Oryctolagus cuniculus: one gene and its partners. The protein of the gene in region 4 interacts with the protein of the main gene of each other region in a pairwise test. Links are inferred from orthologs where the notes say so. Each region holds a gene or a part of one and is shown on either strand. Other genes may lie near its edges. The genes, in order: TBC1D10C, INMT, TTBK2, KLHL12, NTAQ1, FLNA and PDGFRB.

Region 1 (4,396 bases), on a different chromosome or scaffold from region 4:
GCCTCGCCTGGTCTCCGAGGCACACAGCTCCAGCTCCCACCCAGCCACCTCCCCCGAGACGCCTCCCTGACTGCAATGAGCCAGGGCCAGGAGCGGGGGGGCCCTTTCTCCCGCACCAGGCCGGGCACCACCTTCGGCCCCCCCATCCCGGGCCCCAGGAGGGCCTGGAGAGGGAGAAGTCCGAGCTGATGAGCTGGCTTCCTCCCCAGGCACACCCTCCCCGCCCCAAGCCTCCCGCCCGCCTGGCCACGGGCCGCCCCACTCACCCTCGCTGAGGAAGGTGTCCCAGACGCGCAGCACCGTGGGGAAGGGCAGCGAGCGGGCGAAGAGGCACAGGAACCACTCGGGCAGGTACAGCAGGGGCCCCACGCCCACCTGCTGCAGGTGCTTGTGCACACGCGGGAGCAGCCGCCGCAGCAGGGAGGAGAACACCTCGGCGTCCAGCCGCACGGCCTCCTGCGGCCACGGCCGTCAGCCCGCAGCCTGGCGCCACCCGCACCACCGCTGCCCCGGGCCCCTGGGCTGCTGCCCCCCGCCCCGCCATGCCCAGCCTCTCACCATGTGGGGCCCGTAGTAGCCGGGGAGGTAGACCTCACAGATCTGCACCAGGCACCAGAAGGCCTCCTGGAGGGGCGGGCACAGGAGGGGGCTGGGAAAGGGGTGCGGCCCCCCCTGCCCGGTGCCTGAGAGCCTCTGCCCGAGACAGAGGCGCGAGAAACAGGGCTCGGGGTGTTGGGCTGGACGGTCCCTGGGTTCCTGGGGTCAGGGGTCACGGCCATGGGATTCAGAATCAGGAGTCATGAGGTCAAGGTAGCCGCACCAGACCCCTACCGAGGTCACTGGAGTAAGGGCTGGGGTCGGGGGTCCCAAGTCCCTGGGGTCTTGAGAGTCATGAGGTCAGTGGTCCTGAGGCCCTGGGTCCCCAGGACACCATGTCCCCAAGGCCAGTGTTACTTGGGATTTGGGGTCATGGGCCCGGAGTTCAGGATGGCCAGGTCCCTGGGGTTGGGGGTCAGAGTCCTGGGTCGCCGGCCACTCACCTCCGGGGGCAGGTGCATGAGCAGCACGGCGGCCACGGGGCCCTGGGCTTGGCAGTAGCCCTGGTCGGGCCGGTACAGGGTGTAGGCCTTGAGCACCTGCAGGAGCCCCTGCTGCCTGTGCCAGGAGACCCCATCAGGGCCAGCCCCCGGGCACCCCTTCCCACCCTCCCCCAGGTGCCCTGGGACACACGGCAGCAGCGGTAGATCGGGGCGACCGGGCCGAAGGTCCCACCAGGTCCCTGGGCACCCCTTGCCTCGTACCCATGACCCTGGGGGGACACAAACATCTCGTGCAGGGGGAACTGGCGGTGCAGGTCCCTGCCAATGGTCTCCAGCCACTGCGGGTCCCCGGGGGCCTCTGCCAGCTCCTGTGGCGGGCAGGAAGGCGGGCGTGAGGGCTCTGTGTGGCGCAGCCCCCCGGGGGGAGGTGGGCCTGCCGCGCCCTCACCTGGTAGGTGCCGGGGCTGCCGCTCTGACGCACGTGGGCCCCGCACAACAGGGGCCAGCAGCGGGCCCGCAGGGCCGAAGGGATGCCCTTGCGACACTGGAGTTTCACCTGCGGGCGAGGCGGGCGGTGAGGGCCATCCCCGCGGCCCGAGCACAGCAGCGGGCTGGCGGCAAGGGCACCCCTCACCTTCTTGTACCGGCGGGACATGGTCTTCTCCCAGTGCTGCGTCAGCTCCACCCACTGCATCTCCCGCTGCCGGATCAGGCCTGCCGGGGGCTGGCCCGTCCTGGGGGCACGGGACACAGGTGTCAGGCGCCGGGCAGCCGTCCCCTCGGGCCACACCTGTCCCCCACCCCTGCTGGCCGCCCGGGTGAGGCCCGTTAGTGGCCCTGGAGATCCCCAGAAAGCCCCCAGAGTGAGCTGTGTCCCAGAGGCTACCAGCGGTTGTCACAGGGCCAGGGCAGAGCAGAATGATGGGGTGAGTGGGTGTTTGTGGGGCGGGGAGCCTGGTCGGCTGCCTCCGGGGACAGGGACGTGGACGATCCCCAGGCAGCTGGTCGGACGGTGTCCCGCACTGGACACCAGGAGTCCTGAGTGTCGGCTGTGCTGTGTGCCCTGGGGCAAGTTTCTGTCTGTCTCTGAACTTGTTTTCCTGTCTGTACAGGAAGGGCTGGTAGCAGGCGAAGTTGGGATTCGGAGCTGGGATTCCAGGGCCCACGATTAAAAGGGGAAGGATGTTTAGTCTCCGGGGTGGGGGCGAAAGAGACAGACAGAGCCACCCCCACCCGGGTGATTCCACATCAGTAGGACTCCACCTGGCGCCTGGGGACGGTGACACTGGCCGAGTCCCCAGTGTCCAGTCCCCACGCCAGACCCTCCCAAAGCAGGGTCTCCCTCAAGAACTCCGCCCCCGCCCCACCCTCAGCCCCGACCCCCTGCCGCCCAGCCCCGCCTCACTCACCCGGGCTCCTCCGCCGAGCAGCCCCCAATGAAGCCATAGCGATCGGCCTGGCGATATGGGCCGGGCCCACTCAGCTCCGAGTCGGACCCCAGGGAGCTGGAGTCCTCCTGCAGCTCGGAGGTCTGCAGCAGCTCCTCCCCCAGGGCCCGGGCCATGGTGCGAGACCCTCCAGGCCACGGGCTGCGGCCAGCTGCGGGCGTGGAGAGCCACTGTGAGGGGGCCGCTCCCCGCCCTCCCGGTGCCCGGGTCAGAAGGGACAGGTCTCAGGGCATCCCGCCAAGCCCCCGTGTCCTTTCACGGGCGTGGGGGGAGAGCAGCCAGGCTGTGAAATGACAGGAGGGCCAGGCCTTGGCACCCAGACCCCGAACCCACCGGCCCCGGCCCGAGGCGCCCTGCTCACCTACCGCTGCACCTCACCCCTCACCTCCTCCTCCCACTTCCTCCTCACAGCCTCAGCAACCCGCTGGGGGCCCCTCCCAAGGGGGGGGTCACCCCTTCCTCTCCGAGCTCTTCCTGCCCCCGCAGCGCCCCTGAGCCACCAGCTCCTCCCCTCCCCGGCGGCGGCCTCGGGTTCCTGTGCTGCGTGCGACGGCGCCAGGCCACCTGGGTGGCAAGCTCGGGGTGCCAGTGAGGACCGCGGCTGCTGTCGCGTTTGCCCGTCACCACCTGCACCCTATGGGATACTATTTCGCCCCTGGAAAGGTCATTGCGGGACTTAGTAAAAAGTGCACTTAGCATGCACAGGACAGCGTGGAGCATCCCGAGCGAGGGACGCGCGGATGTCCTGGGGCTGGTCAGCTGCCTGGGGGTCACCCGCCAGCCCCGGGACTCGGTTCCCTTGTATGCACTGGCAGAGCGTGACCGCAGCGTCTGGGCAGACGGGTCTTCACGTGCTCACACCACCCGGCCGCCCAGGCCGCCCGGCCCGTGCGAGAGAAAAACAACTTCCACGGTCCTTCCGGTCCCCCAGCCTCTGAAACGGGCTGGGCGGTGCCGCGGGGGTGGAACCCGGCTCGGCCCCGCCCCGAAAGCCCCGCCCCCCAGCTCCTAGGCCAGGCCCCGCCCCGCGCCGCCGCGCTCCTCGTCCAGCGGCGGCGCCAGAGCGTGGAGGGGCGGGGCCTGGCCCGGGGCGGGGCGGGGCCTGGGCCGGGCGGGGCGGGGCCTGGGCCGGGGGCGGCCCGGGGCGGGCGGAAGCAGCGCCAGGCCGGAAGGAGGCTGCGGGCGGGCGGGAGGCAGGAGTGGGCCCGGAGCTGCTGGGCCCGAGCGGCGGCGCCGCCATGTCCGACAGCGAGAAGCTCAACCTGGACTCTATCATCGGGCGCCTGCTGGAAGGTTGGCGGGGGTGGCGGGGCGGCCGTGCCCACCGCCGCGCCCCGGGCCCCGCCAGGCCCGGAAGTGGCGCGCGGACGAGCCGGCCCCTCCCGGACCAGCTCGGGCTGGGCGGAGGCGGCCCGCGAGCTCGCCGCTGGGCCCGGCTCCTGGGCTGAGGGGAGAACCCGTGCGCCCTCGGGCTTTGGGCGACGGCCCCCTGGGAGGGCCTCGAGGGTGGTGGGGGTCTTTCTGGTCCTGGGAGGCCTGAGGCGGCGGCCAGGGCAGGCGCCGCAGCCCCCGCAGCCCCCGCGGCCGGGAGGGTCCCCGGCGGCCCCGCAGGTGCCCGCGGAGAGCCACTCGTGTCGCCCACCTGCTCCTGGCTCGGGGGCCGGGTGCTCAGCCCCCTCCCCCCGCCCCCCAGTGCAGGGCTCGCGGCCCGGAAAGAATGTGCAGCTGACGGAGAACGAGATCCGTGGTCTGTGCCTCAAATCCCGGGAGATCTTCCTGAGCCAGCCCATTCTGCTGGAGCTGGAGGCGCCCCTCAAGATCTGCGGTGAGCCCCCCGCCGGCCCCTCCCCCGCGCAGGCCCGGGGCCCCTCCTCGCTGACCCCGCCCCCGGCCCCCAGGTGACATCCA
Region 2 (4,510 bases), on a different chromosome or scaffold from region 4:
AGAGATGGGTGGGTGGGTGGATGGATGGATGGATGTTGGATGAGTGGGTGGATGGGTGGATGGATGGATGAGTGGATGGGTGACGGATGGATGGATGGAAGTGTGGGTGGGTGGGTGGATGGATGGATGGGTGATGGATGGATGGATGGGTGGGTAGGTGGATGGGTGATGGATAGATGTGTGGGTGGGTGGATGGATGGGTGGGTGGATGGATGGATGGATGATGGATGGATGGATGGATGGAAGTGTGGGTGGGTGGATGGATGGATGGGTGATGGATGGATGGATGGGTGGGTGGGTGGATGGATGGGTGGGTTGGATGGATGGGTGAGGATGGATGGAAGTGTGGGTGGGTGGATGGATGGATGGGTGGGTTGGATGGATGGGTGATGGATGGATGGATGGGTTGGTGGGTGGATGGATGGGTGGGTGGATGGATGGATGGGTGGGTGGGTGGATGGGTGATGGATAGATGGGTGGGTGGGTGGATGGATGGGTGGGTTGGATGGATGGGTGATGGATGGAAGTGTGGGTGGGTGGATGGGTGGGTTGGATGGATGGGTGATGGATGGATGGGTGATGGATGGATGGGTGGGTGGGTGGGTGGATGGATGGGTGGGTTGGATGGATGGATGGGTGAGGATGGATGGAAGTGTGGGTGGGTGGATGGATGGATGAATGGATGACATAGCTGTAGGCCACATGTGGATGTTGCTATAATGTTGAGTGGTGAAAAGCAAAGCCCAGAAGATAACCCAGAGCAAATTACTCTGATAGAACATCCTGAGGAGAATAAAACTAAGGAACAGGCTGCTTAAGCATAGAGATGTGATGAGAATTATTTTTAAGATGCCAAGGAATAACAAATAGATAATTCACCTAAGTGATTGCCTCAGTGTGGGAAGGCAAGGGAGAGGGAGAAGCTTAGATAAGTCGGGCCTGGTGGTGGCTGTGTCACATGTAATGCAGCCCCAATAGGAGTGAGTGGTAGAGGAAGACGAGAAGATGGGAAAGTGGGTAGATGGATGGGTGGACGGATGGTTACACAGAGTACAGGAACGCATGTAGGTAGATGATTGGTGGAAGGCAGGCAGGCAGGCTCCCGGTATGTGGCCTTTACTAAGCTGTATCACATTTGAACACAGTCCCACGGCCCTAGGCTGCCGGGTCCATCTACCCTGACCCTACCCCTAGAGCATCTGGTCCCATCCGTGAGCTTCCAGCCATCCCTGCGATACAAGGGGCCACTGAGAGGCCAGAGAGTCCTCTGCAGAAGGGGGCTGATGTCCAGCCTGTAGGGACCCTGCCCCAGTACCCTAACCACTACCTACCTGTTCCCTTCTAGCTCACAGGCGAACTTCAGCGCCGGAGTCCAGTCATAGGCCCCAGGCTCCTTCTTCAGCCACTTGGCCAGCTCCTCCCGGTTGCGGTCAGTGAAGTCGGAGAGAGTGATGTCTTTGAAGGACTCGCAGGCAGCGAGGACTTGATAGATGGTGGGGCCCGAGCCGATGTCAATCAGTGTGTCCCCTTGGAGGCCGCCTGTGAGAGGAAAAGGGGTCTCAGCGATAGACGAGGAGACCTAAGACAGAAGATGAGGGGGACACACACCCTGGTCTTGCCGTCCGGGGAAGAGACTCGAGCATGGCACTTTGGCACTTATCATGGCTGGGCAGCCTCCTGTCGGCCAAGCCCCACGCCTAATGTCTCATACGCATTCATTTACACTTACACCTCAGAACCTCCCTGCAGATCAACCACCATGGTTATTTCCATTTTACAGATTTGAAAACTGAGGCTGACAAAGGTTACAATGAGCCCAGCATCTTCTAGCCAGCACATGAGCATCTTGCTCCCCAGAGACCAGGAGCTCCAGGCCCTGCACTGGGGGACAACCAGGCTGGAGTGCTCCAAGCATCCATCCTGGGGAACAGTGGCCCCTCAAGATGCAGGCTAATGGGGGCTGAGGCATGTCCAGGCCTGAGCAGGCAGGCTCCTGGAAAGAGGACCAGGACCAGGAAGCGGAGACTGAGGGGGCGGCAAGTTGGGAAGACCCCAAGGGTGAGTTGAGGGTTGCCTGGCAGCTGGAATGAGGTCCCTCTGCAGGCTGGGTTTGAGCTCCCTGCTGGAGGGTCCACACGCAGCCAGGCTGTGCTGTGGTTCCTGCCTCCCCCACCTGGCTCCAGCAGGCTCTCAGCCCCTGCTTCCCCCACCACCAGGAGACTCAGCCTCGCTGCTCCCCAGTCCAGCACCCAAAGGGAGGACGCGGCTGTGCACGCTGGGAGGGCAGGACCGAGTCGCTGGGCCCCCACGATGAGGGACAGGGGTTAGTGCAGGAGGCAGGTAGAGATGGGCCAGTCAAGGCCCCTGGGCCTGCAGGCCAGGCCAGCAGGCTTGCAGCAGGGCGGGGAGCCCACCCAGCATTGCCGACTCCCCAGCCGGGCTTCTCCAGGCCATGGGCAGAGCCAGGTGAAGGCTGTGCACTGCAGGGCTGGGGCTACCCGTACCCCACCACAATCCCACTGTTTGCTCTTGGCCTCCACAGAGCCTCGGGGGCCTGGCTGTGCAGGGACAATGCTGGACTTGAGTCTTCCCGGTCCCACCCTGAAGATCAGGGACCCATGGAGAGCAGCTTGGGGACCGCTAGGTGCTGTGCCCTGCCCACTGTGTGCCCTGATTTGCGGCAGGCAGACAACCAGCAACCCAGCACCCAGAGAGGGCAGTGGCCTGCAGCTCTCCCCACTCCACTGCACCCTGTAGCCCCTAGAGGGGCGGAGGTGCCCTGGGACACATTCTCGCCGCCCCCCACCCCCACCCCGGGCCCTGCAGAGAAGAGGGGAGGCTCACCAGGGCCGAAGGTCTTGTGCAAACACTCCAGGTTAAATTTGAGCATCTCCGCCTCAGGCGAGGGGCCGCTCTGGAAGCTGTAGTAGGTGTTCAGGTAGTCCCTGGGCAGGAAGTGCTTCTGGTACTCATCACCCCCCGTGAAGCCGCCCTCCATGGTGGTCCTGGGTACACCCTCGCCTGCCTGTCCCGCTCTTATGAGGGCTCCCAAGCTCCAGACTCCGCCCCCAGAGTCCCAGCCTCATCTCCTGGCTCCTCCTACATCCACTGGTCCTGGAGTTTTCCCTTTGCGGGGATGCACGAGGAGACCCAGGGACCCTCACTCAATTCCTCTGAACCCAGAGCCATGGCAGCCGGGGCTGCAGGCACCCTGGCTCTGCTTCCCTTAGGGACTGACCCACATCATCAGTGAAGCAAGTGAAAGTGGCCAGCCCTGAGTTCCACTCTCACTGCAGGGTGAGCTGGGGCAGGGGTCAGACCCCTAGCGTCCCACCCACGTACCCACAGCACAGGCTGTGAGGACCAGATCAGCCTCCTGGGCACAGGTGTGGTGGGCCTGGGTAGACAGGGAGATCCCCAGCTGGTCCCCTAGTGGTCAGTGGGGCGCAGCGGGTGTCTGAGCACACCAGCCCAGGGGAGCACGGGAGGAGGAGGGCCCGGCACACAGAGCAGGACTGCTGACTCAGCAATGCAGGCAGAGTATCCTCCACTGGTGTCCGTGAATGAGCACAAGGAGGCCAATCAGAAAGCATAAACAGTCAAGGTTATTTGTGGCTGACCCATCATGTGATCCTGGGTAAGTCAATCGCTCAGGCCTCAGTGTTCTTCCCTCTAAAATGGGCACAGGTCGTTAAAAACCTCCCACAAATAGAGAAAAGCCTGGTCTCCTTTTTGGTACCAGGAAATGACTTTCACTTGGCCGCCAACCAGACAGAAATGAATCTGCTGCCCTGGAGGTCCCAGCTGCCGCCCTGGAAGTGGAAAGGACAAGAATATCTTGTTCTGCTTTAAGTAAACAAACAGCCCCACAGCCGCAGCCTGGGCCCCGGGCCGACTGGGCCCCAGTCACTCACCCCGGGTCCCAGGGTGGAAAACTGCAGTGCTGGCGTTACATAATTGGAGGAGGGTTTGGTCAAAGGACAGCGCTAAACACCGGGTGGGCAGGGCTGTGGGAGGGGAAGCCGCCAGGAGTCTGCAGCAGTCAGAGCTGTCCAAAGAAACAGAACCATATGCCGGCCACAGAGAGGGCAAGAGATGGAGGAGGAGGACCCGGCTCCCGCCGCGAGGGGGCTGCAGGCTGGAGTCGTTGCGGCTCCAGTCCAGGGGCCATCTGCCTGCAGGATCCCCACTGTCATGGAGACCATCAGGCTTGGGCTGGCTGGGTGAGGGACATTTGCATTATGGAAGGGAACCTGTCCTACTTTAAGTCCTCTGGTTTCTTTTTTTTTTTTTTTTTTTTTTGATAGGCAGAGTTAGACAGTGAGAGAGAGAGACAGAGAAAAAGGTCTTCCTTTACCGTTGGTTCACCCTCCAATGGCCGCCATGGCCAGCGCACTGTGGCCGGCGCACTGTGCTGATCCGAAGCCAGGAGCCAGATGCTTCTCCTGGTCTCCCATGCAGGTGCAGAGCCCAAGGACTTGGGCCATCCTCCACTGCACTCCCGGGCCAT
Region 3 (4,187 bases), on a different chromosome or scaffold from region 4:
GCCTGCTGTTTTTTTTTTTTTTTTTTTTTTTTTTTTTTTTTTTTTTTAAGAATGTCAAGAAGGTGTGGCATTTCCCCAAGAAGAAGATTCTTGTAAGAACAGTTCTGAGACTGAACATAGGATTTATATTTAACCTTTCTATACGATTTTATATATATATATATATTAAGATTTAAAAGCGAGATTTATCAGAGTCAGAGACCTCCATCAGGGAGGGGGACTTCCAAGCGAGGAAAAACCCTTCTATATTCTTATTTAGCTTTAATGACGCCTCTTGTTCGTTTCTGTCTTTTAACTGTTAAAGTAAAATGGAGCTTATACGTCACTGCACGCGCTCTGTACACCGTAGACCGCTGGGAGTCCTGCGAGTATTATGAGGAAAAGCACTGCCCACGAGGGGTTTAAGAGACTTGAGTTTTGCGTCTGCTGCGAATTAGTTTTAGAGCTTCTGGAAAGTTGTTGAACTGGGGTTTCCCTTCTGAAAGCGGCGGGTGAGGATGGGATGGCAGAAGCTCTGGGTCGGAAGGTTTTCCTTCACCGGAGAGGCTGGCACGACCAACACGCAATGCAACTGGAACCCGCAGCACCTCTGCTCCGCCCTCTTCGCTCTTCTTTCAAAATCTTGAGCGACTCCCGCACACTCTCGCTTAGCATCCCACGCAGTCCGCCCCGCGGCTCTCGACCGAATCCTTGGCGGCCGTGTTTCAAACAGGGCAGGCAGTTCTGTTCTTCGTGGGCTGAGAGACCGCTGCGGCACAAAGGCTGACGTCCTTGGTGGAAGTCTCCGTCCCTTTTCCTCCTCACTCCTCTAGGCCTTTCCCTGGTCCCCCGCGGCGGGAGCTCCGTGTGGCGCCGTTGCGGGCAAGCCCGGCGGCTCGGGCTCTGAGGAGGCAAATGGCTCCTTTAACCTGTGACCCGGCCTCACGATCCCGGGCCCTTCCCCGCAACCGCCTCGGTGTGTAAATTCATAGCGTGACGAAGCAGCCGCGGTTTTCTGTCAAAACAAAACAAAACAAAACAAAACAAAAAAACAACACCTCAATCGTGGCGTCACATGCACGCCTCTCTAAGTTAATCACTGAGCTGGGAGAACACCTTCCTGCGGCCATCATTCATCTCAGAAGCCCTGCCTCTCTCCTCGGGACAGGCGGGCAGTTGCGGCTGGGGTTGGAACTACGAGGCCCAGAATCCCCGCGCGCATGCGCGTTGCCATTGTGATGCTCCTTTCCCGGTAACTCGCCCTCTCAGGCAAACCTGAAGATAGCGGCAATTCTCCGGTGGGGGGCGGAGACGCTCCCTGCCCGACTCTCCGCCCCCTCCGTGATAGGCAATGGGACCAGCCAACCGACGCTGCGGGCTCGGAACGCACTCTCCAATCAGCACCTGTGGCGGAGAGGTGGGCGTGCGCACTGGCGGGGCAGGTGGGCTAGGCTGTGCCGGGTTGCGAAGGGGGAGCATAACGTCGGGTCGGGTCAGCGGGCGCTGCAGTAGTCGCCGCAGCGGCGATGGGAGCGGTGGGGACTAGGCGGCGGCGGCGGCGGCAAGAGGAACAGGGGCTGGTACAAGAGCAGCGGCTGGGGGCGGCCAGCAGCAGCAGTAACGGCAGCAGCCGCCGCCGTCGCCAGTAAGCGCGGACGGTACCTGAGGGGACAATCCACCGGCCGGCCCTCGAAGCCGCGCTCAGGTCCCGCCGCAGTCGGCGGCGGGGGATGGGCAGGCGGCGACGGTCCCGCCTGCCGAGGGTTGTCCCCTGCCGGTCCTGGCCCTGAGCTGGACCCCAGCCCTCCGCCTGAAATCCCCGCGTCCGCCACGGCCCAGGTAGGACACACCCCCCGCACCCCTAGGGCGCCCCGGGTGGCCCCGGCCCCGCCCTCCCCCAATCCTGACCCCCTTCCTCGGGCCGCAGCCCTAGCGGAGTGGCCGCGCCTGGCGAGGAGGAGAAGGGCACCCGGGGCTCGTAGGTCGCTGCCCACGCCCCGGACTTCTGCCAGACCCAGTCACTTTCCAGCTCGGAGACGGTTCTGGTTCTGCCCCATTTCCCCGAAGGCGCCTGCCGCGTCTCCCCCCTCCCCGAGGCTTCGGGTGTCTTCGCCGAACTTGGAGGGTCATGAAGCTTGATTCTGTTTCTCTCTCTGGGTGACCCACATATCGCTGAGACTCATTCCTCTCCGGGTGCCGGAACCTGGGTGCACCGAGGGTTCTTAGGAATTAGCAGTGCGCCTTTCCCAGCCCGCCCGACTGTCATGGAAGGGGGCATAGGACCGGGGAGTCTTGTCTGCTGTGTTGCAATGAGGAGGAAGGCCCGGGACTTTCTGGTACTTAGGTGCTGAAGTAATGAGCCGAGGGATTTGTTCGTCACTTGCTTCGACAAAGATGATGATGTTGACACCGTGGGATGCTGTGGGAGGGACAAAAGACTCCACACATTCATACTGTCAAATCAGAGAAGTAAATCAGCCGTTGTTGTGCAAGGGTACTTTATCTTACAGGGAAGTTAATTTCGATTCAGTCGTGGTTGCGTTGGAGATAAAATGACATTGAGTTGTACTCTGCTTTGAATTAAAGTTGATAGGTGGCAGCAATACTGGAATTAACTCTTCTCTCACCTAGCTTTACAAATTTGTTCCTTCTTGGAGGAACACTAAAGAGAACAGTTTTATTGTAACCTTTTAATGATGTAAAGGTGTTTTCTTATTCAGTAGAAATTCTCTGTGTGTGCCTGGGTGTGTGTGTGGGTGTGGCTGTGAATGGGCCCAGGTCATATACACCGAGGATCCACTCTGTTTTCTTACAGTGTTGATTCTGAGCCCTTCATAACAGTTGCGTTGGTATCTGCACACTGATTTGCCAGGTAGACCAGGAAGATGTTTCTGCTGTTTTTCTTTCAGACAAACGGAATAGAGTAGCATTTATTTAGTTGGGGAAAAGGGGGAGTGATTTATAGAGCAGAGTGAGTGCTGTGTGTTGCTTCCCCTCCTCCCCTTTTTTTAAAGAAGCAGTAATGGTGGTAAATACAATGTAATATGACAAATGTTGAAAATTGCTTTTATTTATTTATTTTTTTGAAATTGTATTTATTTATTTGAAGGGCAGTGTTACAGAGAGAGGAAGAGAGTGGTCTTCCATCCCCTGGTTTACTTCCCAAAGGGCCACATTTGGACCAGCCTATAACTTCATCCAGGTCCCCCATGTGGATTGCAAGGGTTCAAGTACTTGTGCCATCTTCCACTGCTTTTTAATTTTTTTTTTAAGATTTATTTATTTGAAAGTCAGAGTTACACAGAGAGAGGAGAGGCAGAGAGAGAGAGAGATCTTCCATCTGCTGGTTCTCTCCCCAGTTGGCCACAACAGCCGGAGCTGCACACATCTGAAGCCAGGAGCCAGGAGCTTCTTTGGGGTCTCCCACGTGGGTGCAGGGGCCCAAGGACTTGGGCCATCTTCCATTGCTTTCCCAGGCCATAGCAGAGACAAAGAGCTGGACTGGAAGTGTAGCAGCTGGGACTCGAACCAGCGCCCATATCGGGGGTCGGCGCTTCAGGCCAGGGTGTTAACCCACTTTGCCATAGCGCCGGCCCCTCCACTGCTTTCCTAGGTGAATTAGCAGGGAGCTGGTCAGAAGTGGAGAAAGCAGGACTTGAACTGGAGCTCATAGGGAATGCTGGCATTGCAGGCAGCAACTTAACCTGCTGCACCACAGCCCTGCCCCTGAATAGCTGTTCTTTTTTTTTTTTTTTTTTTTTTTTTTTGACAGGCAGAGTGGACAGTGAGAGAGAGAGAGAGACAGAGAGAAAGGTCTTCCTTTACCGTTGGTTCACCCTCCAATGGCCGCCGCAGCCAGCGCGCTGTGGCCGGCACACCGCGCTGATCCGAAGGCAGGAGCCAGGTGCTTCTCCTGGTCTCCCATGCGGGTGCAGGGCCCAAGCACTTGGGCCATCCTCCACTGCACTCCCTGGCCACAGCAGAGGGCTGGCCTGGAAGAGGGGCAACTGGGACAGAATCCGGCGCCCCAACTGGTACTAGAACCCGGTGTGCCGGCGCCGCAAGGCGGAGGATTAGCCTAGTGAGCTGCAGCGCCAGCCACTGAATAGCTGTTCTTAAATCTAAAAAGAAAAAAAAAGTTTCATTGTGTATACTTGGATGGTATTTGAGGTATACTGTAATCTATTCAAATTGGGAACATATTGAAA
Region 4 (4,478 bases):
GTTCATGCCACCCACGCAGGAGGACCAAGGGGGAGTTTCTGGCTTCTGGCTTTGACTGTTGCAGGCATTTGGGGAATGAACCAGTGGATGGTTCTCTTTCTCCTTCTCTCCCCCTCTCTGTTGCTCTACCTTTCATGTAGATAAAAATAAACATTTAAAAATAAATGAAAATAGATTATAAACATATATCAGAAGCTGGGGAGGCATAGTAGTCAAAAATTGTTTGGGGAGGGGCCCGAGCTGTGGCATAGTAAGTTAGGCCTCCACCTGCAGTGCCAGCATCCCATATGGATGCTGGTTTGGAATCCCAGCTGCTCCACTTCCAGTCCAGCTCCTCCTAGTGGTCTGGGAAGGCAGTAGAAGATGGCCCAAGTGCTGGGGTCCCTGCATCCACAAGGGAGACCTGGAAGAAGCTACTTGCTTCAGATCGGCCCAGCTCCAGCAGTTGTGGTCAAGTTTGGGGAGTGAAACAGCAGATGGAAAACCTCTCTCTGTCTCTCCCTCTCTCTCTCTCTGTAACTTTGCCTCTCAAATAATTAAAAAAAAAATTAAAGCTTAGAAAAATGTGAAGGCAAATTTTATAGCTGGGGGCCAGTGCTGTGGCGTAGCAGGTAAAGCCACCGCCTGCAGTGCTGACATCCCATCCAGGCACCAGTGCTCCACTTTCCATCCAGCTCTCTGCTGTGGCCCAGGAAAGCAGTGGAAGATGGCCCAAGTCCTTGGGCCCCTGCACCCACGTGGGAGACCCGGGAGAAGCTATCAGCTTCGGATCGGGTGCAGCTCCGGCCATTGTGGCCATCTGGGGAGTGAACCAGCGGATGGAGGACCTCTCTCTTTGCCTCTGCCTTTCCTCCTCTCTCCGTGTAACTCTGACTTTCAAATAAATAAATAAGTCAATCTCTAAAAACAAACCAACACAAAGTCAATAACGTCTCATTACCCACTAAGCTGTCCTAAGCACTTGACACGTAATTTTCTGTCTTCGCCACAGCCTTGCGTGACGCACTGGGCAGCACTATTATCTCTAACTCAGAGGTGAGAAAACGAAGGCACAGGCATGTGCGGATCTCACTGTGAATAAGCCTGCCTGCTTACACAGCGTCTTACAAGACTCCACTACCATATGAAGCTTGGGTTGTCTTCCTCGGTGAGGCGAGGCGAGGCGCTTACAGGCATGGGCTGCACGGGTGCGGCCTGCTTACCTCGCTGGTGAACATGGCGCAGAAGTAGTCGCTGCAGGCAGCCAGCACGATCCGGTGGGCGGGGAAGTCTTTCTGCTCCACTCTCAGCGTCACGTCGCAGAGGGTGCTGCTCTTCCTGAGGGCGTTCATCGAGTTGAGGATGGATTTAGCATGCGTGTTGGTCATTATGTCTTTGGGGGCCATCCTGCCTCCCATCAAGCAATATGGAGAAAGAACAGAGGGGGCCCTGGGTCCTGGAACTGCAAGAGAAGGCAACAGAGGCACACAGGCCATCAGCTTCCCAGACGGGGGCTGAGACCTCTGCAGGCACAGACGCCCACAGGGACAGCCCCTGCGCTCTCTGGGCTCACCGCCATCTGGCCGCTAACTCTTCTAGCTTAAGGAGCAGCCCTGCTTCCTCTCAAGTCCTCTGTCATGAGTGTCCCTGCCACCTGCAATTTATTATAATCGGTGCTCAACTGTATTCTAAACAGAAAGGCCTATGTATCTTCATGGGATTGTCTCAAGTGATAAAAAGGTAAAATCCCTTAAAGGTGTGACATCATGGCTATTTAATATTCATAAGAGAATAAGTATTCAGAGGGTGGGTTCTTGGTTCATATGGACCCTAGCAGGTACACAATTAAAATTTAACAATTAAATATAAGAAAAACAGTGTATTCAACTTAGAACAAGAAAGGCTAGTATTGGTGAAAATGAACTGGTTTCCAAAGAAATACAAGATGCAAAGAATTATGCATCAGGATTTCCAAATATAATTACATTTCTTCTGAAAGTGAAATTTCAAACGACAACCTGGGACCTGCTTTGAATAGCAGAGACCACGCAAGCCATCTGTGGTCTCCCCAGAGTCGTCAAAACTCCTCAGTAGGAGTCTTCCTGTTCTACACGATTGGGAACGTCCACCAATGCTAACACATCAATATTCACAGCACTTCTTCTATACTCAGAGAACTTGTCAGGATAGAAACCTAAAATCCCTCTACTGCCAACTTCACCGCCATCGCTGCCGTGGCCTGTTACAAGTCAGCCCTCTGTCCCATGGCTCCCCACCCACACCGTCAACCAACTGCAGATAGAACTATTTGAGAAAAAAAAATCATGGGTATTATACATGCACACGGTTTTTCCCTTGACATTATTGCCTAAGCAGAGTATCAAAACCACTTACACAGCAGTTACAATGCATTAGGTAGGCTGCATGCAAACACAGCGTTCTACAGGAGACCTGAGTGCCAGCCTATCTGGTATCTGTGGCAGCTCCTGGCACCAATGCGCTGCAGACACCAAGGGACGGCTGTGCCCCAAAGTTCACTTGTGCGCATCAGCTCAGTGATTCCCTACCTAACAGCAACTTAAGGAACAGGTGCTAGTTCACAGCCTTTTTTTCTCCTTTGGCTTCAGGCACAATTTCTGGGAGTGAAATGGGGGGTGGTCATTAAGAGAGTACATCTTACTGGGAATCCAAAACTTTCAAAAATAATCCAAGAAATTAAAAAAAGTTCGCAACTCACGGTCAGGATGTTTGAGGAGCAAAAACAAGACCCCAAACTCATCTACTTCTGTCCATGGTCCGCACATCACTCTACAGGATCCACCCAGCGACTGTGCCACAGGCACTTTGCACACCAGGCGGTGATTCATCAGAGCGAGCGTCCTGCACAAAGGTCTTCCTTCGCTCAACCGAGGGCCACCCTGGGATGCAAGGGTCCGAAGGACCTCGCGCGGGGACAGCGGCCCCCCCAGGCAGCCTCAGCACAGCCTCACCCTTACCTTTCGGAAGGGCCCTATTCTAGAACCTCCGATCACACCTGAACACGGGGGTTCCACCACGGCAGGTTGGGGGCGGGGCCGGGGTGTCCACTCCTGGTAAGGGTCAGTTCCCGAGAAGGAAGGAAGGTCTTCGCCGCGGACCACGCCGGGCGCTAGGCTGGCACCGCCTGGCAGAGGTAGCGGAGGGGCGCGGGTCGCCGGGTGCCGCAGGCCAGAAGCCCCCCCGCCTTCCTCCTCGGAGGGAGCCCCAGGAATGGGGGAAGGGCCACCACCTTACGAAGGCAGGGGCTACCTGCCGCCACCTCCGGTCCACTCACCTCGGCTCCCGGGCCCAGCGGCCGCGCCGAGCCCGGCCACAGTCCCTGGGGACGGGGCGGGGAGCGGGGCGAGCAGGCGGCTCAGCAGGAGCCGGAGCGCCGCCGCCGCCCCCGCTCGGAGGCTCTGGGGCCGTCACCGTGGGCGTCCCGGCTCCGGTCCCCGCGGCCGCGCGACGTGATGACGTAATGCCAAGCGAGGCCCGCCCCCCTCCTCCCCTGGGTCGGCATCACGTGAGGCGTCGTCGTCACCTGACCCGCATGTGCCCGGGGCTGGCTTCGGCCAGCAGCAGGAGAGGGGGCGCCCGGGGAGGGGATCGCGCAGGCGTCCAGCTCTGTGATGCGCTGAAACCGAGTTTCTTTCTGCCCGCAGCCCACGAGGCAGGCCCCACGGGGAGCGTTCCCAGGGCTTCTAGGCGAAGGCGCTGACTGCAGGGGCTCCGTTTTACCTGCCAGGGATTCGGGTACTGCCTGTCATCCAGGAAACCCAGAGACACTGCAACTGTCTCAAAATCCACGGTCCACAGTGGCGGCCTCGCGCCGACTAGTGCTGTGGCGAGAACCCCGAGACCTCGGGCGTTCTCTGCGTCACAGTGGGGCTTGCGAGGGTCTCGGAGCAGCCCTGCCGGACCTGTCTGCCGTCCCCGGGGGTGCAGGGAGGGGGCGGCTAGGCCTTCTGCTTCTTCTTGACTTGGACGCATTGTTAGGGGCCGGGGCTCCTCAGTTCCACCTAAGTCAGTGCCCACACTGCTTTCCTGTGCGCGGCCTCTGATGCCTAAGGTTGGTGATACCCCAGCACGGTGGGCGGCTGCTACTTTGCTTGGTGTCTCTGTCTTCCATAAGCAATCTTCCCACCCGAAGACTCCCTGGTTTACACATTGTGGTTGGAAGTGCAAGGCTGGGGCAAGTTCTGCGGAGTTTTGGAAGTCATCACAGGTATGAATGCAGATACCCTTTGGCTGCGCAATTGTTTATCAACGTATCCGCCATGTATACTGTATGCGGCAGTGTTGTGTGTAGATGAAAAACCCTCAACGTGCATTAGGAGGGCTGATTCAGTAAGGTGTGCATTCAACCCTGCACCATGCTGTTGTGAGCAGCAGGTGTCGTCTTGCTATTATTTGTATCAAAACGTGAGAAGATACATTCAATTATATTCGATCGTATGTGTATAAAAGAAACAAAGTAT
Region 5 (3,736 bases), on a different chromosome or scaffold from region 4:
ATGCCAAGACAAGTGATCTTTATAAAAAAAAATAAAATAATAACCTTAGCATGATCCCAGTGTCTTACTTCAGAAAGTATGTACGTAAATCCAAGCCGAATCTCCTCACCTCCTGAACTGTGGGTGAATGTCATCATCAGACTTAAAGGCATCTTCTACGTAAGTGTCAAAGGGACAGGGAAAGGGCAGGACAGTATCAAGGTCATAGATGAAGCTCTGTCCTCCACTTGACACATGGAGCAAAACAACGTGGTAATCCTAGGAAGAAAAGCACATCTGGGTGGTGAATGCCAAGGCCCCTTAATGCACATTAAAAAAAAAAAAAGGTTACAAGTACAACACTAATACAACCCTCCTTAAAACAGCAAAATACAATAAAGCAAACACAAAACCCTAAAAACAGACTAAAAGTCCAGTGTCTGGGAAGGTGGTCAAATAAACGATGGAAATGGTTACAGACATTAACTGTATACCCTTTTGACCCGGCAACTTCACCTCTAGGAAACTATTCCACCGAAAAATGGCCATGAGCGCGTGAAGTGTAAACATGAAGAAACTCTCCGCGGCACTGTTTATAATTTTGAAAAGTCCAGGAGCCTATCAAGCAGCGAACGCTGAGTAAACTGTGTCACAGCCGTATAATCAAATACCACGCAGATGATAAAAGACATCAGTACATTTATGTGGAAAATGCAAAAATGTCAGGGCCAGCGTTGTGGCATAGTGGATTACACTGCCGGCTGCAACGCCAACATTCCATATGGACGGTGGTTCAAGTCTTGGCTGCTCTACTTCCCATCCAGCTCTCTGCTAGTGTACCTGGAAAAGCAGAAGATGGTTCAAGTACTTGAGTCCCTGCGCCCACACAGAAGACCTAGAAGAAGCTCCTGGCTAGCCCTGGCTATTGGGCCCATTTGGGGAGTGAACCATTGGGGCCATTTGGGGATAGAAGACTTTCTCTCACTCCCTCTATCCCTTCCTCCCTCCCTCCCTGCAACTACACCTTTCAAGGAAATAATTAAATCTTTTTTTTTTTAATGCAAAAATGTCCATGTCATTGGGACCAGTGTTGTGGCACAGTGAGTAAAGCAACCACCTGTGGCGCCAGTATCCCATATGGATGCCAGTTCAAGTCCTAGCTGCTTTGCTTCCCATCCAACTCCCTGCATATGGCCTGGGAAAGCAGTGAAGGATGGCCCAAGTCCTTGGGCCCCTGCACCCATGTGGGAGACCTGGAAGAAGCTCCTGGCTCCTGGCCTTGGCCTGGCCAGCCCCAGACATTGTGGTCATTTGGGGAGTCAACCAGTGGATGGAAGACTTCTCTGTCTCTCCCTCTCCCTCTCTCTCTCTAACTCTGCTTTTCAAATAAATAAAAAATAAATCTTAAAAAAAAATTCCATGTATATAGCTGGACAGACGAAGCAAAGTGCAGAATATCAACACATTTTTTTTTTTTAAGATTTATGTGTTTGTTTGAAAGATACAGTTACAGAGAGGCAGAGGTAGAGAAGGAGAGAAGCCTTCCATCCGCTGGCTCACTCCTCAAATGGTCACAATGGCTGGAGCTGGGCCAATTCAAAGCCAGGAGCCAGGAGCTTACTCCAGGTCTCCTACAAGGGTGCAGGTGCCTAAGGACTTAAGCCATCTTCTACTGCTTTCCAAGGCCATAGCAGAGAGCTGGATCAGAAGTAGAGTAGCATGGGACTCGAACTAGTGCCCATATGGGACACTGGCACTGCAGGTAGCAGCTTTACCTGCTACTCCACAGCACTGGCCCCCTGCTTTATTTTTTGTAAGCCATGTGCATATAAGGACACACATTTGATTCAGAAGTACATATGCATGCATGAGTACAGAGGAAGTGTGTAAGGATCTCCTCTGAACAATTAACAAAGGGGACTTCTTGTCTATTTATTATTTGAGAAACAAAGACAGAGAGAACTCTCATCTATTTGTTTACTTTCCAAATGCCCATAACAACCACCGAGGCTGGGCCAAGCCAAAGCTGGAAGCTGGGAACTCAACTCAGGTCTCCCACAAGGGTGGCAGGAACCCAACTGCTTAAGCCACCCACAGTCTGCATTAGCAGGAAGTCAGAGTCAGAACCAGAGCCAGGTATCAAACCCAAGGACTCCCATGTGGGATGCAGGCATCTTACCTGACAGCTTAACCACTACCCCAAAAACCTCAAAGGGGACGACTTGAGAAGCTAGCCTGGAGAGGAAATCAGGATGTAACTTTTCAGTTCTGTGCTATTTTCCTAATTAAAAGGGGAAAAATTGAACAACAGCCGAGCTGCAATCTGTAGGCATTAGGGTAAGGTTAAGGACAGCCTCTCCTGCTCAGCCCCACAGCATGGACACACTCTCTCTCTCTCACCAGCGCAGCCGAGGGCTGAAGGGGACCTCCAGTTATCAAGGGACATGAGGGCAGTCTGCTGCTTTGGTTCCTGAGGGGTAAAATGCTCTCACAGGCAGCAGTATGATAAAACACACGCTCTACCGACCGTCTTCCGCTTCCACAGCACATAGCTCAGAGTTTACAAAGCCCGTTACTGCATCTCGGCCCATTCGACCCCTGGGAAGTGGAAAAGGCAACGAGACTGGAACTGCTGAGTCATAAGAGCGAGGGCTTTGCTTGTCTCCAACTCTGTCTTGGGAAGGCAGAAACAGACACTCTCTGTGCTCCTGCTCAGTGACTCACAGCTGCTCCCCTAACAGTCCTCCATTCCCTTCCATGGGCCTTGCTCATGGTACTCCATCCCCTGCAGCAACCTGCCCGGCCTCCCTCTGCCACACAGGCTCCAGCTCAAAAGCTTTCTCCCCCAGGAATCCACTTGGGAACTTCTACCCCTGCCAGAAGTCATCTCTGCCTTAGCTCACTTCAGACTCTCATTATAACTTATTTTTAAGTACTTGCTCCTTATTAATAATAGGAAACTGTGCTGCTGAAACATAGACACAAAGATAAAAATTACAAGTTCTTACCTGCAAGGCGTTCCTGGAGAAGTGAGTGGGAATCCCAAGTGTATAGTACAGAGTGAATAAGAGACAGAACAGGGAACCTTGTAGGCAAGGGCAGGCAAGTACCTGGTTCAAATCTCAACCCCTCCACTTCCCAGGCTCACAAGTGGAGATAGAAGGAGAGTCTGCGTCACAATGTAACTGGAGAATAACTCTGTAAACAGCTGGCCTTTTTAAAAGCCAACCAAAGGGCCGGCACAGCGGCTCACCAGGCTAATCCTCCGCCTTGCGGCGCCGGCACACTGGGTTCTGGTCCCAGTCGGGGCACCGGATTCTGTCCTGGTTGCCCCTCTTCCAGGCCGGCTCTCTGCTGTGGCCCGGGAGTGCAGTGGAGGATGGCCCAAGTCCTTGGGCCCTGCACCCCATGGGAGACCAGGATAAGTACCTGGCTCCTGGCTTCAGATCAGCGCGGTGCGCCAGCCGCAGCGCGTGGGATGCGGCAGCCATTGGAGGGTGAACCAACGGCAAAAGGAAGACCTTTCTCTCTGTCTCTCTCTCTCTCACTGTCCACTCTGCCTGTCAAAAAAATAAATAAATAAATAAATAATTTAAAAAAGCCAACCAAGGGGGGAGCGGCACTGTGGCACAGCAGGTTAAAACCCTGGCTTGTAGCAAAGGCATCCCATATAGGTGCCAGTTTGGGTCCTGGCTGCTCCACTTTTGATCCAGCTCTCTGCTATGGCCTGGGAAAGCAGTAGATAGCCCAAGTCCTT
Region 6 (3,736 bases), on a different chromosome or scaffold from region 4:
TCAGCCTCAAGATCCCTGGTAGGGGCTGTGGGGAGCCAGGGAGGGCTGCTGGGAGCAGGTGGGGGCACAGACCTCCTACCCACCGGGCCACCTCCTCCCTGCAGAAATCAGCATCCAGGACATGACCGCACAGGTGACCAGCCCCTCGGGCAAGAGCCACGAGGCCGAGATCGTGGAAGGCGAGAACCACACCTACTGTATCCGCTTTGTGCCTGCTGAGATGGGCACGCACACAGTCAGTGTCAAGTACAAGGGCCAGCACGTGCCTGGAAGCCCCTTCCAGTTCACCGTGGGGCCCCTGGGGGAAGGAGGAGCCCACAAGGTTCGTGCTGGGGGCCCTGGCCTGGAGAGGGCTGAAGCCGGAGTGCCAGGTAGGCCCGCTTGCCCACCCAGCTCTTGCTCTTCTGGGTGCCCGGGGGCAGTGGGGGGGAGGCTGCCGGCAGCCACGCCATCGGGGCCATGGCGAGGGGCTGAGGGCAGAGGCGCAACCCTCCAGGAGGAAATACCGCTCTCCACAGCCGAATTCAGCATCTGGACCAGGGAAGCTGGCGCCGGGGGCCTGGCCATCGCCGTCGAGGGCCCCAGCAAGGCCGAGATCTCCTTTGAGGACCGCAAGGACGGCTCATGTGGTGTGGCCTACGTGGTCCAGGAGCCAGGTACCGGGGGCCTGGCCGGGGCTGGAGCAGGTCCTCAGGGAGGGAGCCGGGGTTGTCTTCCCCACCACCCTGGGGCCCCCACCACCCTCCACCTGCCTCGAAGCCTCAGAACGCCCCGCCCCGGGCTGTTGGTGGGGCAGGCAGGAGGCCCAGCCTCCGAGGAGCCAGACCTCCCATCGTGCCTGGCCTGGGCTGGCCCAGGATAGCCTCGTGTCCTCTCCCTGCCAGGTGACTACGAGGTGTCGGTCAAGTTCAACGAGGAGCACATCCCTGACAGTCCTTTCGTGGTGCCTGTGGCTTCTCCGTCCGGCGATGCCCGCCGCCTTACTGTTTCTAGTCTTCAGGTGAGGCACTGAGAGAAACTGGCCACCTGGGGCTCCTGGGCCCGGCCAGACCAGAGGCACCGCGAAGCACAGGCCAGGGTTCTGTGCCCAGTAACCCAGCCGGCCCAGCTCTGGGCCCCGGGCCCCTGCTCTGGCCGGGTCCAACCCGCACTTGGGGTTGGCAGGAAGCACCCTGCCCACCGCGTGGAGTTTTTCTCGTGTCTCAGGTCTAAAGGCTTTGAACAGGAGCCTGTGCCCCTTGAGCACCAGGGCTGAGGTTTAAAGAGGGAAAGCCTGCCAGGGTGGGGCCACTGTCCTTCCAGCTGTGGGGGCCCTGTGACTTCAGGGGTCTGGGCGGTGGGGGAGGGGTGGGGTAGTGTGGTGGGGGAACCTATGTCTGAAGCTTGCTGCCCCTAGCATATCAGTGGCTCTCCCTCTTTAAACCAAGTTGGACGCCAGATGGGTAAGTGTGAGCCCTGGGGCCTCCCAACTCTGGGGCCATGTACCGGCCCCGTGCCCGGTCCCCGCCACCCCATCTAACCTCGTCTGCTGTGCTTCCAGGAGTCAGGGCTAAAGGTCAACCAGCCAGCCTCTTTTGCAGTCAGCCTGAACGGGGCCAAGGGGGCGATTGATGCCAAGGTGCACAGCCCCTCGGGAGCCCTGGAGGAGTGCTATGTCACAGAGATTGACCAAGGTGAGGCCCTGTCCCTGTCCGGCCACCCGGCCACCTACCTGCACGGGCCCCAGCGGGGGCAGCGGGCCTCCCCAAAGCCCGGCCAGCCGGCTGGAAGCAGGCTGAGAGTACGTGAGGAAGGTACAGACTTTCTGTTGGCGCCCAGCACGGGGCCCCCCGACGGCTGCAGGGCCCCCTCGATCAGGGGACAGGGGAGCCCTCCCCGACCGGTGGCCCAAGGCCTCGGCCATGAGCTCGCCAGCCACGGCCACTGGGAAGAAGGCCTTTCGTGGGGCAGCGCGACGCGGTGTGTCTGCAGAGGGACGGCCCCCAGTGTAGCCACAGGGCTGCCGGGCCCTTCGCCAGGCGCATGGCACCTGCAGTAGGCTCAAGCACACCAGTGTCACCGCGCAGTCCTGCCCCTTGCCGGCTGCCTGACCCGAAGCAAGTTCCGGCCCGTCCATGAGCCCCGGTTCACGGGCGGGGAGTGTGGCACTCACGGTAGCCGTTCAGGGGAGGCCGGCCGTGAGATGAGGCGGCTGTTTGGCCGGTGGACGATTTCCGTGCCTCTGAGCCTCGATGGCAGGCTGCTTGGGTGTCTAGAGCCTCCGCCCTCAGCCTTCTGCAGGTGTGTGCTGCCGGGTGTGGGCGCCCAGCAGGGCCCCAGAGGAAGCGGAGGGGACGCGGGCTAAGGGTGTGGGGGGAGGACGGGGCAGGCCAGGACCGAGGCTGTCCTCTCGGAGGCTACATGCTGGTGACAGAACCCCCAGGCCCGCAGCGTGCCCTTCTGCTCCTCAGATAAGTATGCCGTGCGCTTCATCCCACGGGAGAATGGGATCTACCTGATTGACGTCAAGTTCAACGGCACCCACATCCCTGGAAGCCCCTTCAAGATCCGAGTGGGGGAGCCTGGGCACGGAGGGGACCCAGGCATGGTGTCCGCCTACGGAGCGGGCCTGGAAGGCGGCGTCACAGGTGGGTCCTCGGCTGCAGCTCTGGGCGTGGCTGAGGCTGCCAGGGCCGAGCTCCCGGCGACGTCTGGGGTGGACGGCCGGGGTGGGGGGACAGCACAGGCCCGGCAGCTGGGGGCGGGACAGGACGGGGTCACCAGGCCGGGCCGGCTCTGCCTGACCTCCCGTGCTCACAGGGAGCCCGGCTGAGTTTATTGTGAACACGACCAACGCGGGAGCCGGTGCCCTCTCGGTGACCATCGACGGGCCCTCCAAGGTGAAGATGGATTGCCAGGAGTGCCCCGAGGGCTACCGCGTCACCTACACTCCCATGGCGCCCGGCAGCTACCTCATCTCCATCAAGTACGGCGGGCCCTACCACATTGGGGGCAGCCCCTTCAAGGCCAAAGTCACAGGTGAGCCTACGGCCAGGCTGCTGGTGGCCACCCGACGCCAGGCGCTCGCACCCCCTCTCAGCCCCACCCGCTGTGCCCTGCAGGCCCCCGTCTCGTCAGCAACCACAGCCTCCACGAGACGTCCTCAGTGTTTGTGGACTCCCTGACCAAGGCCACGGGCGCCCCCCAGCACGCCGCCGCGGGCCCAGGCCTTGCCGATGCCAGCAAAGTGGTGGCCAAGGGCCTGGGGCTGAGCAAGGCCTACGCAGGCCAGAAGAGCAGCTTCACGGTGGACTGCAGCAAAGCAGGTGGGCAGCTGGGGCCGCCCCGGCCTCCCCGAGGACACGGGACGGCCAGCCCCGGGCCCCCGCCTTCTCTACCCTCAGGAGAGGAAAGGGCTGGCCGGGAGCAGCGGCTGGAGCGGCCCCTGCCACTCAGGCAGGGAGGGAGACGGGGAGGAGGGCTGGGCGCGGTCAGCAGCGGGGCCCGTGACCGAGGCCCATCCCTACCTCAGGCAACAACATGCTGCTGGTCGGGGTTCACGGCCCGAGGACGCCCTGCGAGGAGATCCTGGTGAAGCACGTGGGCAGCCGGCTCTACAGCGTCTCCTACCTGCTCAAGGACAAGGGGGAGTACACGCTGGTGGTCAAGTGGGGCGACGAGCACATCCCGGGCAGCCCCTACCGCGTCCTGGTGCCCTGAGCCCGGTGCCCCCGCCGGCCAGCGCCGCCAGGACGAG
Region 7 (2,632 bases), on a different chromosome or scaffold from region 4:
ACGGTGCCGGTGCTGGGAGGCAGGAGGGGGCGCTCCAGGCAGGGCAGAGTCGGGGCCAGCCCCCTACAGGAAGCTGTCCTCCGCTTCCACCCGCAGCCCCAGGCAGCCTGGATCTGCCGGCTGCTCCTGCTCCGGCGGGGGCTCCTCCGGGGCCTCCACCTGTGCCTCGAGCTCTGCTTCTTCTTGGGGCTCCAGGGGGCTGTCACAGGAGATGGTGGAAGACGTGTTGGCCTCATTCAGGGTGGAGCTAGAGGAAGGAGGCGGGTGAGTGAGGGGGGGAGGGGACATGGGAACACGCAGGCGGCTCTCAGGACGAGCTGGCTGAGTGTCCCACTGGGCACGCTTTGGCTCCCATAGTCCTTGTAGAGACTATGCAAGGGCTGCACCGTGGAGGACCTGTGGCTCAGGGAAGTGATGTCCCCGGCCCAGGTGAGCGGAGGAGCCAGGACTTCCGAGCAGGTGCAGCTGACCCCAAAGTCCATTCCTCAGCCAGCGGCATCTACCCTCCTAAAGGACTGTGCTGTCTCTTAATCCTCCCACCAACCCCTACCTGAAGGGCTTTCACTGTGGTCATTTTACAGAAGAGGAACTGAAGTTCTGAGAGGTGGAGCCGATTGCATGAGGGCACAGAGCAAGGCCAGCATTCACAACCCCTGGCAGCTGAACTCTACAGTGACTCCTCTGTGTCGTCTCCCTGGAGCCTGAGGACGTTGGCTTCCTCCATGGGCACAGCCAAAATGACAAAGGGCCCGCACCGGCCTATGTGCACTCCCAGTGCCACGGGAGAAACCGAGGGTTGCAGGGGAGAAGCCTGCGCAGGTATCACAGCAGTGGTAACAGCCAGGGGCTGCCCCACTCACTCCACCCTGGGCTGGATCTCGTCTGGGGGTGGGTTTGGCCTCCTGGGCAGCCCCGATCTTCAGCCGAGGAGGATCCTGTCTCAACAGCATTCCCAGGCCACAGCCAGGGCTGTCCCACACGGCAGCCTCACTGCATCCCAAGGCGAGACGAAAACCACCAGCCTCCTTCCTGGCCTGAGTTCTGGCCTGAACTGCTGTGGGTGCCTCTACAGCCACGCTGGGCTCCCAGGGCTGAAGGACAGACCACAGACCTGAGACTGGCCATGACCCTGTCCTTGGGGCTACGACAGGGCCCAGAGAGGGGAGGGTACCCAGGGCCTCTTAAAAGGCAGGGCTCACAAATGATCCCCAGCCCCTCCTTCTATGACTGGTCTTTGCCTCACACCTGACGTCATCCCAGGTCAGTCCTGTTTACTCATAGGAATGAGTACTCGGCCATGGCACCCGCAGCCAGCTCAGCCCCAGGCAGACAGACAGACACAAACACACACACACACACACTTACACACACACCATGCACGCTGTACAGCTACCTGGCAAGGCTGGGGGAGCCCTCCAGGGGGCCCTCATCAGCAACCTCGGGCTTGGGGTCAGGCAGGGGGATGATGTAGTCGTTGTCGCCCTCGTTGGGCTGCACGGCCGTGTAGAGGACAGAGCCGGTGTCCAGGGGAGATCGGAGGCCGTGGAACCCAGGGAAGCGGGCTTGGGACCGGAGGATGGCCGGGTGGTCACTCCTGAGAAACTCCTCATCCACCTGCTGGTACTTCTGCTCCGCCAGGCATGGGGGGAACCAGAGAAACAGAGATGGCTTCAGGGACCAGCTGAGCAAGTCGGGCCACGGAGGGGCTCAGGGAAGAACGGGGTTTGCTAAGCCGCCCCGCCCACTGAGGGAGGGGGCGGAGGCAGCGCAGCCCGAGTGCCTCACCCCTCCCCACTGCGGAGCCAGCAGGTTAGTGCTCTCCTCCTGCCCCCATTGCCCCCAGGGGCCCTCGCCATGGGGAGGCGATGACTCTACAACGTCTCCCTGGTCCCTGGGAGCGCCGCCGGGCATGGGCACGGGGTGAGAGCCAGACCTCGGGAAAGGCCGTGTCTGCACCTCCCCGCCTCTCCCTGGTTCCTGCTGCGGGACGGGGCAGCGTTTTAGGGTCCTTGCGGCTCTGTGTGCCTTGGGGCAGCCTGAGACAGGGTTGCTGTGGTCCTAGAGCCCCAGATCTGGCCTGGGTGCAGAGGCCTGGGAAGGCAGCAGGACCCCAGGGCTGCGGCCCCGCCCTGTGCCGAGTAGTCAGCGTCCCCATAGGAGCCCACTGGAGAGCTCTGAGCCACCAAAAAGGCAGGCTCATCGCTGCAGCCCAGGTCTGCCCAGCAGCAGCAGAGAAACGGAGGCCCAGAGAGGGCTATGGGGGTTTCCTCCAAACAGCAGCACCGCATGCAGAGCCCCGAATCGGGGGCCAACTTCTGCATCACAACTCTGCCCCCACCCTGCCTCATTTTACCTTTTTGTAACCCTCGCCCAGCAGCCTCTCGAGAAGCAGCACGAGTTGGGAGAAAGGGGGCCGAATCTCAAACTTCTCTTCCCAGCACTTCTGCATAATCTCGTAGCTGGGGAGAGAGGCAGAGTGGCTCAGGGTCTTGGGTTTGGGGCCCAGGGGAGCTGGAGCCTGGCATCTCTGGAAACACAGCAGCCAGGCAAGGGGGCTGGGAGGGTGTCGGACAGGTGCTGCCTCCCATCACGGCCTTGGCCTTCCCTCCCAGCACCCCTAATCCATCTGCCA

The links.
Region 1: the proteins of KLHL12 (region 4) and TBC1D10C interact in binary tests that used the Homo sapiens proteins (3 or more experiments, as listed by UniProt). The two-hybrid records come from large-scale screens. The link is inferred for Oryctolagus cuniculus from reciprocal best matches to the Homo sapiens genes KLHL12 and TBC1D10C.
Region 2: the proteins of KLHL12 (region 4) and INMT interact in binary tests that used the Homo sapiens proteins (3 or more experiments, as listed by UniProt). The two-hybrid records come from large-scale screens. The link is inferred for Oryctolagus cuniculus from reciprocal best matches to the Homo sapiens genes KLHL12 and INMT.
Region 3: the proteins of KLHL12 (region 4) and TTBK2 interact in binary tests that used the Homo sapiens proteins (3 or more experiments, as listed by UniProt). The two-hybrid records come from large-scale screens. The link is inferred for Oryctolagus cuniculus from reciprocal best matches to the Homo sapiens genes KLHL12 and TTBK2.
Region 5: the proteins of KLHL12 (region 4) and NTAQ1 interact in binary tests that used the Homo sapiens proteins (3 or more experiments, as listed by UniProt). The two-hybrid records come from large-scale screens. The link is inferred for Oryctolagus cuniculus from reciprocal best matches to the Homo sapiens genes KLHL12 and NTAQ1.
Region 6: the proteins of KLHL12 (region 4) and FLNA interact in binary tests that used the Homo sapiens proteins (3 or more experiments, as listed by UniProt). The two-hybrid records come from large-scale screens. The link is inferred for Oryctolagus cuniculus from reciprocal best matches to the Homo sapiens genes KLHL12 and FLNA.
Region 7: the proteins of KLHL12 (region 4) and PDGFRB interact in binary tests that used the Homo sapiens proteins (3 or more experiments, as listed by UniProt). The two-hybrid records come from large-scale screens. The link is inferred for Oryctolagus cuniculus from reciprocal best matches to the Homo sapiens genes KLHL12 and PDGFRB.

The regions. Positions count from the first base shown.
Region 1 is NC_091432.1:4,643,867-4,648,262, forward strand, and holds the start of TBC1D10C (carabin), read right to left. Parts: upstream 2,930-4,396; 5' UTR 2,854-2,929; exon of another isoform or gene 2,640-2,853; 5' UTR 2,605-2,639; coding exon 2,450-2,604; intron 1,775-2,449; coding exon 1,675-1,774; intron 1,597-1,674; coding exon 1,489-1,596; intron 1,409-1,488; coding exon 1,302-1,408; intron 1,156-1,301; coding exon 1,041-1,155; intron 625-1,040; coding exon 559-624; intron 457-558; coding exon 267-456; intron 1-266.
Region 2 is NC_091447.1:21,980,850-21,985,359, reverse strand, and holds the start of INMT (indolethylamine N-methyltransferase), read right to left. Parts: upstream 3,014-4,510; 5' UTR 2,999-3,013; coding exon 2,845-2,998; intron 1,540-2,844; coding exon 1,332-1,539; intron 1-1,331. UniProt on the Homo sapiens protein: Functions as a thioether S-methyltransferase and is active with a variety of thioethers and the corresponding selenium and tellurium compounds, including 3-methylthiopropionaldehyde, dimethyl selenide, dimethyl telluride, 2-methylthioethylamine, 2-methylthioethanol, methyl-n-propyl sulfide and diethyl sulfide.
Region 3 is NC_091443.1:65,909,581-65,913,767, reverse strand, and holds the start of TTBK2 (tau-tubulin kinase 2), read left to right. Parts: upstream 1-1,246; 5' UTR 1,247-1,330; coding exon 1,331-1,396; intron 1,397-1,681; exon of another isoform or gene 1,682-1,818; intron 1,819-4,187.
Region 4 is NC_091444.1:18,666,173-18,670,650, forward strand, and holds the start of KLHL12 (kelch-like protein 12), read right to left. Parts: upstream 2,903-4,478; 5' UTR 2,847-2,902; coding exon 2,717-2,846; intron 1,442-2,716; coding exon 1,203-1,441; intron 1-1,202. UniProt on the Homo sapiens protein: Substrate-specific adapter of a BCR (BTB-CUL3-RBX1) E3 ubiquitin ligase complex that acts as a negative regulator of Wnt signaling pathway and ER-Golgi transport.
Region 5 is NC_091437.1:149,148,850-149,152,585, reverse strand, and holds part of NTAQ1 (protein N-terminal glutamine amidohydrolase), read right to left. Parts: intron 820-3,736; exon of another isoform or gene 550-819; coding exon of another isoform or gene 496-549; intron 259-495; coding exon 110-258; intron 1-109. UniProt on the Homo sapiens protein: Mediates the side-chain deamidation of N-terminal glutamine residues to glutamate, an important step in N-end rule pathway of protein degradation.
Region 6 is NC_091453.1:132,577,879-132,581,614, reverse strand, and holds part of FLNA (filamin-A), read left to right. Parts: coding exon 1-18; intron 19-104; coding exon 105-371; intron 372-518; coding exon 519-656; intron 657-884; coding exon 885-1,000; intron 1,001-1,540; coding exon 1,541-1,673; intron 1,674-2,450; coding exon 2,451-2,627; intron 2,628-2,799; coding exon 2,800-3,018; intron 3,019-3,101; coding exon 3,102-3,305; intron 3,306-3,511; coding exon 3,512-3,699; 3' UTR 3,700-3,736. UniProt on the Homo sapiens protein: Promotes orthogonal branching of actin filaments and links actin filaments to membrane glycoproteins. Anchors various transmembrane proteins to the actin cytoskeleton and serves as a scaffold for a wide range of cytoplasmic signaling proteins.
Region 7 is NC_091437.1:37,429,352-37,431,983, forward strand, and holds part of PDGFRB (platelet-derived growth factor receptor beta), read right to left. Parts: intron 2,460-2,632; coding exon 2,354-2,459; intron 1,627-2,353; coding exon 1,394-1,626; intron 248-1,393; coding exon 64-247; 3' UTR 1-63. UniProt on the Homo sapiens protein: Tyrosine-protein kinase that acts as a cell-surface receptor for homodimeric PDGFB and PDGFD and for heterodimers formed by PDGFA and PDGFB, and plays an essential role in the regulation of embryonic development, cell proliferation, survival, differentiation, chemotaxis and migration.